Linked DNA regions of Lepisosteus oculatus. The protein of the gene in region 1 purifies or fractionates together with the protein of each later gene. This does not show direct contact. Links are inferred from orthologs where the notes say so. Each region holds a gene or a part of one and is shown on either strand. Other genes may lie near its edges.

Region 1 (7,027 bases):
GGCTACACGCCCTCCCTCAAATTAACCTCATCATTCCACCATATATCATTTCAAAGGATGTGCTCAGTCTTATACTAGGCACATAATGATACTCAATGCAAGCTGCATAATACTTGCAATAATCAGTTTGAGTAAAGAAAATGCTGAAATGGATATTCAAAGCAAAAAAAAAAGCATAATTTAACCTGAAGCAAGGAAGAAACTATCTGAAATGAAAGCTCCCTTAATTGAGATCCTGATGTAGCAGGAAATTGGTGTAACACCCTTTCCTTCTTCAGGGTGTGATTTTTAAAGAAGATATAATACACAATTTACAAACACGGTGCTGTGCAGATTATTTTGCAATGTTAAGGCAGGGCAAAAGGACTGCATGCAGGTCTAGTGCCGAGCACAGTCCATTCACTTGGAAGCATAAAGAACTTTAAACAAAAAAAATATTGCTTAAAGAAATAAGCCTTCTATGGGCTGACAGTTCATGCACAACATCAGTGGGAACACAAACATACTCTTAAGGCAGCCAGACCCAGGATCACAGTAATACTTCAGTCACCTTATCCACTATCAGTAAAATATAAAATGTTGGAACTAGCCAATACCTCTGCTGAGCAAAGTAACCCATTCATGCAATTTATTCATAGCAATATTAAAGAACCAGTTACTGCCCTCAACTCATGTAGTTATGACAACCACACCCCTTCTGCTTTCCCAGTTCCTGCTGTTGATGGGACTTTAGTAAGAGAGTTCGTAGTTAAATTGAGACCTAGTACCGCACCCCTACTTGGTACGAACTTGTACATTTGTTACTAACATCTTAAATGAGTCCGAAAAACTGATTTGAAGTTTTCTGTTTTGACACCTGTTAAGATAAGATGACTAGGCCTCCCTGCTACTTAACAGCCACCTGATGTCCTTGATTTTGGCCTTCTTCCTCATAAAACACCAGACTCCACACCTGGTGACAGAGCCTTCTCCCGTGCAGCACCATGTCCATTATACACATTTCCCATATCCATTAGAGATGAATTCACTATCTCCAAACACGCTTAAACATCAGTCTTATTAATAAATCTTTCAATCTACAGTTTCATCTCCTGTTATCACACAGTCAGTTTGCCGGGGTTTGTTTGCTTCTGTTTTAGTTTAGCACTTATCAGTTGGTTGCAAAGAAACAACTGCATTATTAACAGAGAGGGTAATGGAAAACGTGGTCTCATCACATTAAACTTTTCTGTTCAGGGCTGTTCCTACCTTTCCATGGGTCTGAATGAGTTTGACAGCAGCCAAACCATTTTGATACCTACTAAAAATGGTAAAAGCTTATAAAACATCATAATCTGACTGCCACCTTGTAACAGTAATCTGTGATACTTTTTTTAGCCTCAGTTCTACCCTCTCTGCCCTATGGTTCAAGTTTCTCACATCATAATTTAGTCAATTACAAAGTAATTAATAACTTTAAAATTAAATATCAAATATGCTTGGCGCTTTCGCCCAAAAAAGTCTAAGAGTATGAGAGGATAAGAGGAAATATTAAAACATCATACAACTAAAAGCCCCAGTTAGAGGAGTCGAAACGACAGTTCCTTCAGTGTCAGAGCGAGGTTTTGGAAATCATCTCGGTATTACCCACCACTTGGACAAAAATGGAAGTATTTTATTACCATACCGATACGAGTGAAGTGATATTCCAGTAAAAGCTCATAAAATGCTATGTCAGAGTAACAAAAGACTTTAATTAAAATGAGCAATTCAATTAGACAATACATGGACCTTCAACGTCCATTTATTAGTTTAGCCACAGCGACAAAGTGTGTGCAGAGCTCTGCTACAGGGATCTGAACCCCAACTCATGCAGCTAATATCCCACAACCCACCCCAAAGCCGCACAACACACCACTTCACCAGTAAAATGGCAGTGTACGTACCAGAAAGCAGAGCTTAGGCCAGTTGTGGATGAAGTACCTGTAGGTGTAAATGGAGTAGGGCTCCGACAAGTCCTTAGTGATCAGCCTCATAATGTCCGGCATCTGCAGCTCAGACTCATAGCGCACGTACTGGATCGGCTCCTCATCCTCCCCCTGTTCTCCGCCAGAGCTATTCAGAACCACCCTCGCCATCTCCGACACCGCTGCCTCCACGGTGTAAGAGCCGTCCAGAGCGGCCTCCAGCTCCACGCCAGCCCCTGGAGTCCCGAGGCCTGCCACGGCCGGGGGGTCGGCAGGGGAAGGCCGGGGCTCAGTCCTGGCGCGGTCGCCTCTCCAGCTCGCCTCCTCCGACAGGGTCAGCATGCTGTTCATGCTGTGGTTGTTGTTCGAGTACGAGTGGTTTTGCGGCGGGCAGTGCTGCCCTTGGCAGCCGCTGTTGTTGATGTCGCCGAAATTGCTGCCCTCCTGGGCGCCAGCCCGAGCCCCGCCGGTGCCGTCGCGGTGCTCGGTGAGCGCCCCCGGGCTGTCAGACGGCCTGTGAGCCGGGTGATGGTGATGACTATGGAGGCGGCTGTGGTGAGTGCAGGCGAGGCCGTCCTCCGCGGCGTTTATTAAGCCGTTGAGTTGTTGCTGCTGCTGTGTCTGAGTATGGAAGTGGTGAACCGCCGGGTGAGAGTACAGGTGGTTCTGAGTTGCCTTGCTCGTCCCTTTCCCTTCACTTACTTGTTGCTGCTGTCCAACCCCGGGGATCGCTGCGTCTCCTCGTCCACAGCCACGTTCCCCCCCTTCCCCGGGTATGGCGCACCCAACCCCGGGGAAGGGAATAATCTCGGCCGGGGATGCAGGCAGCGCGCTAGGCCCAGGCGGCACCTCAGCCATCCCACTTCATTCAGGGAAAAATGGGGACGAAGAAGAATCACGAAAGAGAGATCCTGTTGGTCAGGGGCAGGTAAAAGCAATACCAATCCCCCCCGGGAATAACGATTAAAATATGCGAGTTTTGAGTCTTCTCCCTCAGGTCTCCTCTGGTCGTTACCCGTCACTCTCTCCTCGGCTTTCCTGCTCCCCGCTGCCGGAAAGTGGAACGACTGTCAGTACGACACCAAGAAAGAGGAGGAGACACTTTACGACACTCGTGGGAACCATGATTTCGCGAATATAGCCTGTAGATCGATTCGGCGGAAGCCGAGTTAGATCGGTTATGTGTTCAACATATATTATTGAGATTAAGAAGCGATCAGCCTAATTTACATTAAAATTAACAGTTTCATATTTTTATTTTAAAGAATGCTGTTAAAATATTGCATTGAGTAAATATGAAGCTTTATGTTTCATATTAACTTTATTATCGTTTAGAGCGCTAGGAAGACTGGGGCCGAAGCAGAATCACGAAAGACAGATCCTTTTGGTCAGCGCACTAAATGAGAAAATAGGAAAGTTTATATAAATGACAAGTTTAGGGAATCCTCCTTTACTTGTTTTAAGCGAGCTGTACAGTGGACATGTGATTCCAGTTTGGTTTACAATGTATGCATGCTATGTATACTCATGCATAAAGATAAATGTACTCGCAAACAATTCTAGAGAATAAAACAGACGACAGATTCTTACCAGCTGGATTATTCTGTACAATTAAAGAGATTTCACAGCACAAATACCTTCCTCTATTCTGGCATAGCAAACTATATCCCAAGTCTAGATGTGGTAGTGCAACACATTCCAGTTTAACAAAGTGCTGAGTCACCAGGAACATTCCAGAAGGATCTTGGTGGTCTCTGTGCTAACTAGCTACAGTATTAACAACGGGATGGGACTGCACCCCCTTATTTTGTAAGACGTCTTGCACTCAGGATCAACATCTGCAACCTATTATACATGAATCAGGTGCTGTCCTTTGTGCCAGTGAGTATAGTAGAGGCCCTTGTTTCTTGTGGTCAGTCAGAGCATATCCTCTGGTATATCACGTGGAAAGACGTGCTGTTTCTCAAAATAATCCGAGATGCTGTCTACACTGTCACACATGCTGCGGAGAAAGAGCAGCATCTGGGGATGGGTCCTGCGGACCCAGAACTTTTCAAATGCCTCTCGCTCTGAGTAAAAACGGGGGTGAGGGGACTGGTTTGGGTTCTCTTGCTCTGCTTCAGGTGTGTCTGCCCATTTTAAAACCATCTACGTAGACCTTAGAAGGAAATGGAGCCAATTATATAAGTTTGTTTGCTGTCATCTTTGTCCCTGGACTGTCATTGGACACATCAGAAGGGTACATTTTTTTCCAAGTGTGTAGGGCCTTGCTAAGTCTATCTGGCGCTGAAGTGTTTACACACACTTTGTGACTTCGGGATTTGACTGCTGTAAGAGGGCATCTACTCTAAACAACAGGCTTCAGTATGTCCAAAAGGATCCTATAACACCCATTCTATGTCCTTGGCACAGGCTCAGTTGAGAGCTGTTAAATTGGCTTTAAGGTTCTCCAGCTCAAATTAAGAGATCAGATTCACCCCAGGTGAAATCTTTGTTGTGGATCTTTAGAACTGGAAAAAGGAAAGGATCCATTCAGATAGGTAAACTGCTCTAGTTGGCCAGCCTATCTCTAGAGAAAAGTCCAGTACAGTTTTTATAATGGGAAGAAAGATTCCAGCAGAGGGCAGTACAGGCCAGAGACTTCGCTCTGCGTAGTATTTGTTGTTGCTCCAGTAGTAAACCTAACAAAATTGCACAAGCATTCTACACATTACTTCACTACACTGAAAGCATTATTCTGTCCAAATGACTGTTCCTTCTCACAGCACAAGCCATGTTCAATTTGGAGAACTAGCCTGTAGTGCATGTCAATGCTTTTAATGTTAAATTCATATTTAATTCCCCCTGTCCCGACGACAGTGGACCTTACAGAGAAAGCATTTATTCAGAACATTTCCATGTTGTTGGCTGTCCCTCCATTGACTGTAATACAAATCTATTGGCTTTTGGAATCACTTTACCCTTCCATGTTGTGTATTTTTAGTCCTAGCAAGAGCTGCTGTTATCCATTATCTTCGGTCACTCCCTTTTTTAACAGCTAGTGCTTGGGTTCAAATACACTGCTTGATGGATACAGGACTAAAAATGAATCCAGGGCGCCTTTGTGTCAAAAGAAAACATCAGGAGGGACTAGACAAATATAGATAGTGCTCTGCTGGAGGAGAGGCCAGGCAAATACAGATAATGCTCTGTCGTTAATGCAACAGCTCTGCAAGATGTCTGATCCCGCATGTCATCTGAATGACATGACATTGCCAGTGTTGTGTTGCTCTTTAAAGATGCAGAGAGACCTGCTCTGTGCCAGCTGTGCCGGCACATTCCTGTTGCCCAGCCCACTGTTCCGTGCGAAAGCGGTTTGTTTTCTCTCCAGCTCAGTTGCCTCATGCTAATTGTGTGCAAAGTTTTATCGGTTACACGGCCTGCCGTCTGTGCAGGTCTCTCCAGTTGGATAGTTGCTCCCTATTCAGTTTACCCGGAGAATCCACTGTCCTCTTTCTCTGGAATCAATTTCCACTCCTAATGTGCTGGAGAGGGGCGGACGCACTGAGTGCTTCAGACTCTTAAATATTGACTGACTTGGTAATGGCGTGTCCTGCTTGTGCAGATATGTGCGCTCTGCTGGGTTCTGTACAGAGACTAAAGCCGTGCTTGCTGCTTTGTTATCCCCCGACACACCTGTGGGATTGTGGTTGAGTGCTTGCAGAATAACGATGAACCCAACTAACAATGCAACATGGCAAATGACAGTTTCCTTTCATAGATTTTTTTTTCTCTATAAGTATATAAAAAGGAATGTATTAGTAGGTATGGAGTTTAAAGGAGTCACCCAAAGGCCCTTAAAGACCAAGACCTTTAAGCCTAAGAAGGCGTTCCAATCATCAACTAATTGGCCATAGCACATTTCCTGCAGGTAGTCCTGTGTATTGGGGTGTCATGTCATAACAATGCTTTCCAGCCTGTGCCAGACTTCAGAGGTTATGCCTTTCTGGCTTCCTTAAGCCATAAAAGAAGCTCAGAGCCTACAGTTGCTGTTGTTCCATGGTCTCCCATAAATACATGCAGAGGTTGTGTGAGCAATTGGTCCCAACTGACAGAACATTAGTCAGGGTCAGCCCCTGAGTCGAAATCCACATGAGAATGTGGTGCCTCTATCAGTGTGGGGCCCAAGGAGGCTAGCGAGAGACTAGAAAAAAGCATTCTCTCAGGAGACTGACTGCAGTGGAGATTGAACACAGGCTCTTCCATCTTTTATCTTACCTGTGCCATGTTCCTGCCACACTGCCCTGTGTTAGTATTCCTTAAGCTCCATTGGCTCCTCTACTGAAATTACTTTCTGGAGCTTGAGACTATTGGTAATTGTTCACTACGGCTATGGAAGCCTTCAAGGGTATGTGAAGGCCTTGTGATAGAAAAGAGGACTGTCCCTGCTGCTGGTCTAGAGTGAGGTGTTACCCCCAGGAGAGGCACAGAGCCTGATAAGCACAGAAAGAAGTCACAGAGAAGGAGACAGCAGGGATGAAGATGCAATTATGAATGCTATGGTTAGTTATTAGAAACATCGCCCGGTATTTTATGACACTGGAATGCCTACTTGATTTTACCAATAGAAATCAAGAGTGGAAAGAGATGAATAAAAAAAGAAAAGCAGAAGGTCAGAGGTCACTCACTGCCAGGAGGGATTGGAACAGAAGGGGGGATAGTGGATGTCTCAACACAACACAGACAACAAAGCCACACCAAGAGACCTGGAGGACAAGTCCCGTCCCTCTCAGCTGACCAGGGCAGCCTGGAGTTGGAGACACATGGATCCTCTATAAGTATGGCCCTCTAAAAGATATACTTAATACCACTGTTAAAAAGAGAGTTATTAGACAGTAAACTAGAGTTTATAACTTAGGATTTTAAAACACAGCACCAAGAAAGGATGAGGGCTGTAAGACCCAGCACAATGCCTCCCTCTCCCTTTGGTATTTTACTGGAGCCCCCACCCCTGCTTTCTATAAGAGCCCGAGTACTCAGACCCTCGTTAGATCTGTCGCAGCAATTAGCTATTCAGGAGCCCAGCAAGGGAAGGAGAAATC
Region 2 (7,913 bases), on another chromosome or scaffold:
ACGTTTTTAATCCATAAAATCAGTTAACGTCAAGCCTCTGAGCAAGCCCCAAAATAAAAAAAAAAACAATCCCAAGGACGCATGGCTTCTTCACTGCGGCCCTGGCGGCTGCGGCCTGTCGCGCAGTCTGGGTGTGTGTGTGTGTGCAGCTCATCCCAGAAGCGCCCAGTTCCTCTCCTCGCCGCCCCATGTGCCCATCAGCCGGAGAATCCGCTCCAGGAAGGGGCGACACTGGGCAGACTACGAGGCCACCAAAGCCGGGGGTGCAGTTTGTGTCATTTTTGTTTTTCAATTTTGCGTGCTTCCACGTGCAGCAAATAGAGTGTTCTACGGGCTCACTTCATCCCGTCTGAAAGAGCCTAGTCCTTGGAACGCAGACAACAACCATATCAGGATCAACCACCCAGCAAAACCATCCCTCCCTCCACCCAGCAGGCCAGTCCCCGTCCCTCCCAGCTGGCCTGGCCCTGAGCTGCCTTGTCCTCTCCTGTTCAGTCCGCCAGCTCCAGGTGACGGCTTGCGACGAGCCTTTTAGAAGCCCTGAGAGCCCGCCAGGCTGTCCGCCTCCACCTCTATGGACACCACGTGGTGCCCGGGGATCATGGCCAGGCCCAGCACGCGGGGCTCGCCCTGGGAGAACAAGTCTGAAAGGAAGAGCAGAGAACAGAGGGCAGGAAAAAAAAAAACACGGCTAACCTGAACATTATCCGGAATGTGCATTATGGTCATCTCAAACTCCGCGTTACAGTTCTCAGGCATTTGCTGCAGGTGTCCATTACATTACTGGAGTGTTTTCTTTCACGGTTAAAATCTCAGGAGTCATTTTTATTAACTACATGGAAAAAGATGAGTCGTGAGCAGTTACTGCTGTGCTGCCAAAATCATCCCTCTATTTAAATAGAGCAGGATGGGTGAAAGGCGGAATGGTGTTGCAGTGGTTTGCATTGCTATCTCACAGCACTAGGGCCCTGGGTTCAATTCCAGACCTGGGGTGCTATCCGTGTGGAGTTTGTATGTTCTTTCCGAGTTTGGGTGGGTTTCCTCCGGGTGCTCCAGTTTCCTCCCGCAGTCCACAAACACACTGGTAAGTTAATAATAATAATAATAATTGCTTACACTTATATAGCGCTTTTCTGGACACTCCACTCAAAGCGCTTTACAGGTAATGGGGACTCCCCTCCACCACCACCAGTGTGCAGCATCCACCTGGATGATGCGACGGCAGCCATAGTGCGCCAGAACGCTCACCACACATCAGCTATCAGTGGGGAGGAGAGCAGAGTAATGTAGCCAATTCATAGAGGGGGATTATTAGGAGGCCATGATTGGTAAGGGCCAACGGGAAATTTGGCCAGGACGCCGGGGTTACACCCCTACTCTTTTCGAGAAACGCCCTGGGATTTTTAATGACCACAGAGAGTTAGGACCTCGGTTTTACGTCTCATCCGAAGGACGGCGCCTGTTTACAGTATAGTGTCCCCATCACTATACTGGGGCATTAGGACCCACATGGACTGCAGGGTGAGCGCCCCCTTCTGGCCCCACTAACACCTCTTCCAGCAGCAACCTTAGTTAACTGGCTTCTGAGAAAACTGGCCCGCACATGTGTGTGTGTGTTGGTGTCTCTGTGTGTCTTGCCATGGACTGGCGCCTTGTCCAGGGTGTACCCCGCCTTGTGCCCGCTGCTGACTGGGATTGGCTGCAGCCCCCCCAACGACTTTGAACGGGAAGACATGGGTTAAATACCCTGCTCATGGGTGCAACAGCAGTGGCTGTGGGTTCAAATCCCAGGTCAGTCTCCCAGTTACTAGTCCAGAGCCTTAACCCCAAACGCCCCCCACGCAGCTGCCTGACAAAAACGGGGGGGTACAGGCGGTACCTGTGGATTTAAGGAACTCCTGCGCGGACCCCAGGATGACGTTGCAGTCGCGGTCAGTGCAGAGGAACAGCCCCACCAGCGTGCGCCCGTCCGTCATGCGGATGCGCATGCTCTTGTTCAGCAGGTTCTCCAGCTTCTGACAGGCCAGCGTGTACGTGGACTCCTCCCCCTGCGGGACACGGGGCAGCCAATGGGTGAGCGAGCCTTGCTTAGGACCGCCTCCTTTGTCCAGCAAGATCAAGGCCAAAGAGGAGTCAAGCACAATGACGACGTGGTGGACAAGGCATGATCAGGCTAAAAACATGGTAAAGGCTAGAGAGTTCCAGGTAAAGCACCAAGCTGTAAAGTAATTTTGGCATAAATCAGGGCAATACCATGATCTTGTGAAGTTAATGCACAGAACAGGCAGGGGACTGAACTGGTGTCACAGGGTCACAGTGCCATTAAGATTAGGGCATTTTCTGGAAATGTTTCAGCGTAAATTGCATTCCAGATTTGCAGCTTCTTCACTTGAATAATGCACTGCCAATTACTTCAGCCCTTTGAAACCCGCGCTATGCAATGTGGCACACTTTAAAGCAGGTGGTCTGAAAAATAAATCCGGGGTCCCCCTGACCTCTGAACAGTCGCGAATACGCAGCAGGGCAGGTTACCAAACGCGCGGTCAGCACTGAAATAGCAGGCCTAAGACAGCACAAGAGCCCAGGTTAGAAAGCCACCGCACTAACTCCAAGACTTCACTCGTCCGGCCCGTACTCGTGGGGGGCAGTGCGAGAGCAGGGTGAAACAGCGGCGACCCTCCGCTGTCTTCCCGTTTCCGGGCGAAAACGTGCCATCATTAATCCACCCCGCATGCCTGTGTCACCCACCGGCACGCTAACACCGAGACATTTCCACCGACTCGCACGGCCACTCACCCCCGAACGAGCTGCGGTACCATTCTCTTCTTTCACCGCCGCCATTTCTTATTTATATTCATTTAATTTTTGACTGGGTTTTATTCACCCCTCTCCAGACCTTCACGGACCCTCGCGACCTTTTTAAAAAAAAAAATTCCAAAGTACATCCGGGTTTTCGCAGGGTGTTGTGGGTATTGTAGTGTCTATTTAAATACGAAGGACAAGGACGCCTTGTTTTTAGGTCTTCGGGGTGGTCTGTTTTGAAAACGTAGTCGCACGTCTTTTTTTCTCCAATTTCCTTATTTGAAAAATGAACGTAATTGACTTGAAAACAAACCAGGCGTTCCATTAATTAAAGTTAATAGGATTATAAGTTCATTTGAATTCATGGAGAACGAAAAAATAAACGTATTTCCCACGGATTGTTGTTTTGATAAAAGTGTCTTCAAGACGTCACCTGGGGTGACAGAACTACAAATCCCAGAATTCCTGCGTGTCGTCATACCGGCCTGGCGTAGCTACGGCAACAGAAACAAAGTTTTGTGTACAGTTCTGCAGCGCCCCCAGTTTTAAAGAAAGAAAAAAAGATTAATACTGTTTAGGTGAATACAAACGTGTGTAATGGTCGTTTCAATTTAACACATGACGGCTCATACATAACTTGTTTTACTTCCTTGCAGGGGAGATGCGGCGCCCCAAATATTACACTCCTAACGAAGTCTCTTTGCACAACACTGTCGAGGATTTATGGGTTTCGTATTTGGGCAAAGTGTACGATTTGACCCCGTTGGTGAAGGAGCACCAGGGTAAGTTAAAAGCGTCTGAGGGTAACTTTCAGCACAAACGCGGGTACCCCGGTGCACCTCAGTAGCGCATTGTCTACTTGTAGTAAAACGCGCACAAAATGCCTTATCGGATTGCCTTCCTTATAATTGTTTAAAAGACTGATTGCGGTGAATCAGGAGAGGGCGAGGGACGGGTATGGACACCCCAGTTTTTAAGCTCCCTTTCCTTCATGCGTTTCTCCACTCAGGCGATGTGCTCCTGAAACCCATCATCGAGTCCGCAGGGAAGGACATCAGCCACTGGTTTAACCCCAAGACTAAAGATGTAAGTGAAAGTGCAGAGGCCTCTCTGGGTTGGGGTAATCACTCCTTTAATTAATCGTCATTATTGAGGGTGTGAGTATGTAGGGTGGGGGAGTGGAGCTCTTCTGGTACTAGTGTCTTCCTTAAAGGAGGGAGCTTTTCTTTAAAAGGGTAATAATAATAATAATAATAATAATAATAATAATAATAATAGCTTACACTTATATAGGACTGGACTCTCCACTCAAAGGGCTTTACAGGTAATGGGGATCCCCTCCACTACCACCAATGTGCAGCCCCACCTGGATGATGCGCCGACAGCCATGGTGCACCAGTACTCTCACCACACACCAGCTCTCAGTGGGGCAGAGAACAGAGTGAAAAAGCCACTTCATAGATGGAGATTATTAGGAGGCCATGATTGGTAAAGGCCAATGGGAAATTTGGCCAGGACACCAGGGTTACATCTCTACTCTTTTCAAGAAATGCCCTGGGATTTTTAATGACCACAGAGAGTCAGGACCTCGGTTTTATGGCTCATCCGAAGGACGATGCCTTTTTTACAGTATAGTGTCCCCGTCACTATACTGGGGCATTAGGAGCCACATAGACCGCAGGGTGAGTGACACCTGCTGGCCCCACTAACACCTCTTCCAGCAGCAACCTTCCTCAGCAACCTGCTGAGCTTCAGTGGGTTGCCAGTTATGAGTTGCAGGGTGATATGGCTGCTGGCTGAACTCAATATGTTTGTACTTATTTTGTAGTAGGGCAGATCTTTGCTGTTTGCAAAGATCACTGCTTCTCTCAACAGTGGAACCTGCATTCCTGTCTCACCGCGCAGGTGGCTCAACGGGAGGAGGAAAGTGCGCTGTCCACACCCTCCCCATACGGGATCCCAGTAGACTAACAGACGGGAATTCCTGATTCAGAGGGATTAAGAAATAAAGGAAACTGTAAAAAGAGTGATTGCAAATTATAAAAAAAAGAAACAAGCAACAGATTGTTCTCTGAGGTCCTCATAAAATGGCCAGACTGTGCCCATTGCTGATGTTTGCTAGGGCCTCACTGGGTCAGTGTCTTGTTTTCAGCACAGCACTTCTGTGTCTCCACTGCAGTGAAGTAAGTTGGCCTGTAGATGTCAGTGTGGGACTGTACTTTGCAGCATTTTCACAGCCTAAAGATAGTCCGTGGTTAAAGTCTTTAATCTCTAGTGAATGAGACTTCGCCATTTACCAGTTCATAGGCCTTGTCCCAGAGGGGAGCCCCTTTGAAACCCTTCTATTCCAGCTGAGCTCATCAGAAATTTTAGTTTAGCTGTCAAAAATCTTGGAAGGATTAGTAAGAGCTATCAGCCTTCAACCAGCTTCTGGGTTTCACACCCCTCTTCATTCAGATGAACAGAACGTCAGTAACTGGGCCTCTTCAGGGTACATAGTTGATTTTTTTGTGTCTGTTAGATAAGTGTCATTCCCACCTGTCTGTGAACACCTGTAAACACCTCATGTGTTAAGTTCTACATTAAGGCTGACACACAGGATCATACATACTGTGAACAATAGTGGCATAGTATTACATTACTATGTGCAGGTGCTACCTGATCTTCTGTAATGGGAGCTGAAGGACTGCAGTGCTGGTGCTAACCATGCAGGACAGTACTCAGAGCTCTGGACTGATAAATGGAATAGGTTCATTTCCCGGCTGGAGCAATGGTTTTGAACCCATGGGCAGGTTTCAGTAAAACACCCAGCAGCATAAATGGTTGCATGTAAGTCTCTATGGATAAACGAGCAAGCCAAATAAATTTATAATAACCATTTATGGGTTGCTAGGCAGAGAGAAACACAATAGCACCTGCTTCTAGGTCCAGGTCTTAGGCACTGTTTCACTGTCTCCTTACTCCTCTGTTTGTAAAGCAACCTTGTCACCTACAGATCCGGACCCACGTCGACCCCCTGTCAGGCTGCAAGAAGTACTACACCCCCAGTGGGCGTTTCGTCCACGTGCCTCCACCTTGGCCCTGCACCGACTGGGCCAACGACTTCGGCTGCCCCTGGTGGAGAGACGGCTGCTACGAGGTGGGGGTCCTGTCAGCCAAGACCCGCCACGTGCGCATCATCAACACGCTGACTTCCCAGGAGCAGATGCTGGAGGTGAGCCGCGCACTGCTGCCTGGCAAGGCGTTCCTGCAATATTTAAAAAAAGGGGCATTTCTCATGATTTTGACAGTACGGTTTTCACCTATTTATTTCCTAGAATACCTCCAAATGTAATATTTAAAAAAAAATAAAAAGAGGACAAAAAAACAGTGACATTTCTAGTGTCGTACAGAGAGTGTATTTCTAGTCTCGGAGCTGTAAAGTGTTCATATCACAGGTTGTATAGCAAAACTATTCCATTTTCTCTTTAAAAAAAGCAAGCTCTTGGATATATGCTGGATATTTTGGGCTTGTTCCCGCATTTTGCATTAATTTACGTGTACTGTTGCCTGGGGATAAAAACATTAAAGCTATTTGTCGATTTGCTTATTCAGAATACTTAGTAAAATATGAAATGGGTCAAACTGCCGTGCAACGGGAGTCTTAATTTGCATCGCGGTTGTTTTTCATGGTTTTTTTTGTGTAACCCCAGTGAGTATTCTTGGGAGGCCCCTTTGTGCTCGAACCTGTGATTCAGGTGACGGCACAGATCTCGGTGTCCCGACTGTCTCCCTCGCCTGTCGTCCCAGGTGTGTTCCGAGGAGACAATGTCGGAAATCCTGCAGCGCTACCTGAAGTACAACTCCCATGCTGCCAGTTACACCTGGAAATACGGCGGCGTCAACCTGGACATGGGCAAGACGCTGTCGGAGAACGGGATCGCCGACGAGGATCAGGAGTTCTATGAGCTCCGCATGGACCGGGACCTTTTCACACAGTCCATCTGTCTCTATTTCAACGACGATCTCACCGAACTGTGAGCTCCGCTCCACTGCACGTCCACACCCCTTCCACTGTCCTGTTAGTCCTCTCTGCTTCGCCAAGAAACTGCTTCAGTTTTGAGCTCTGGTCTCACGACCCTGGGAGCCACCCAGCTCTACCGGCCCCATCTCTGTGATCTCTCTCCAGTCTGAGACATGTATTGACCAGCTGCTGCTGATCCCCCTCTGCCTCTGTCCCTGCCTCTTTCTCTCTTCTCCCACCTCTCCCTCTCCAGATCCCTCTGTCCCTTCCCCTTGCTCTCTCTCTCCGTCTCTCGCTCTCCCTCCCCCTTTATTCACAGCTGGATGATCGCAGCTCATGACCTGTTCTCAAGGGTTGCTTTTCGGTGATAATAAAATGCGCTGCTTGTTATTTTGAGACATGTCTAGATATTTTGGACCTCTTTTTTTGCTTCCCGTGACACAGCTTGCTTTGGATTAACCACTGGGTGTTCAGTCTCACCTCTCGTGGAGGTGAACTCCCACAGGCTCCTCACTGCTCAGCAGGACACGGGCTGCAGCAGTCTGAGCTGTACTTGTGTGTATCTGAAACGTTTGTCCAAAGTTTATAGCTTTTTTTAAATGAGGTATTAGTGTGTTCACTGTTTAAGTTGTATTATTATTAATTTCCCCTATTCCTTCATCCAGCTTACATTTGATACCATAATTGTGTAAAATATATTGGTGTAGTTCATTAACACAGCTATATATTTACAGGAGTCCAGGCATTCTTTAATAAAAACAAAATATGTAACTAGTTATTATAATTCCCTCAATGGCTATTTCTTCAGTTGTTTTAAGTATTTCATTTCCTCTTAGGCGCCTTCTGTATTTAATGGTTACAGACACCACCTCCTTCATCCTGTGCTCGTCTCAATCACATCAATAAATCGGCCACCCATGTCTACGTGTCGTGTTGAGCAGCATCCCAAAGCGCTTTTACAACAAGTCGAACTGCAGAATAATTGTAGTTAAAAGTCCGGCGGAGGCATCACGCGTAATAAAATAAGGCAATTTCGTCGTTTTCTGCTCGCCGCACGTTTGATTAAAATATATATACGCGTTAATTACCCCTGTGTATGTTAAAAACA

Evidence for each region. Proteins that work in one complex are often made in the same cells at the same time.
Region 2: the proteins of naa30 (region 1) and naa38 purify together in Homo sapiens (co-immunoprecipitation; 3 studies listed by BioGRID and IntAct, with this or other methods). This does not show direct contact. The link is inferred for Lepisosteus oculatus from reciprocal best matches to the Homo sapiens genes NAA30 and NAA38.

The regions. Positions count from the first base shown.
Region 1 is NC_090703.1:9,953,042-9,960,068, forward strand, and holds the start of naa30 (N-alpha-acetyltransferase 30), read right to left. Parts: upstream 3,014-7,027; 5' UTR 2,805-3,013; coding exon 1,926-2,804; intron 1-1,925. UniProt on the Homo sapiens protein: Catalytic subunit of the N-terminal acetyltransferase C (NatC) complex. Catalyzes acetylation of the N-terminal methionine residues of peptides beginning with Met-Leu-Ala and Met-Leu-Gly.
Region 2 is NC_090698.1:7,517,944-7,525,856, forward strand, and holds the start of naa38 (N-alpha-acetyltransferase 38, NatC auxiliary subunit), read right to left. Parts: upstream 3,007-7,913; 5' UTR 2,842-3,006; coding exon 2,797-2,841; intron 2,049-2,796; coding exon 1,880-2,048; intron 645-1,879; coding exon 532-644; 3' UTR 1-531. Other genes in the region: cyb5d1 (cytochrome b5 domain-containing protein 1), read left to right, coding at 3,464-3,584, 3,812-3,888, 5,798-6,016, 6,592-6,822.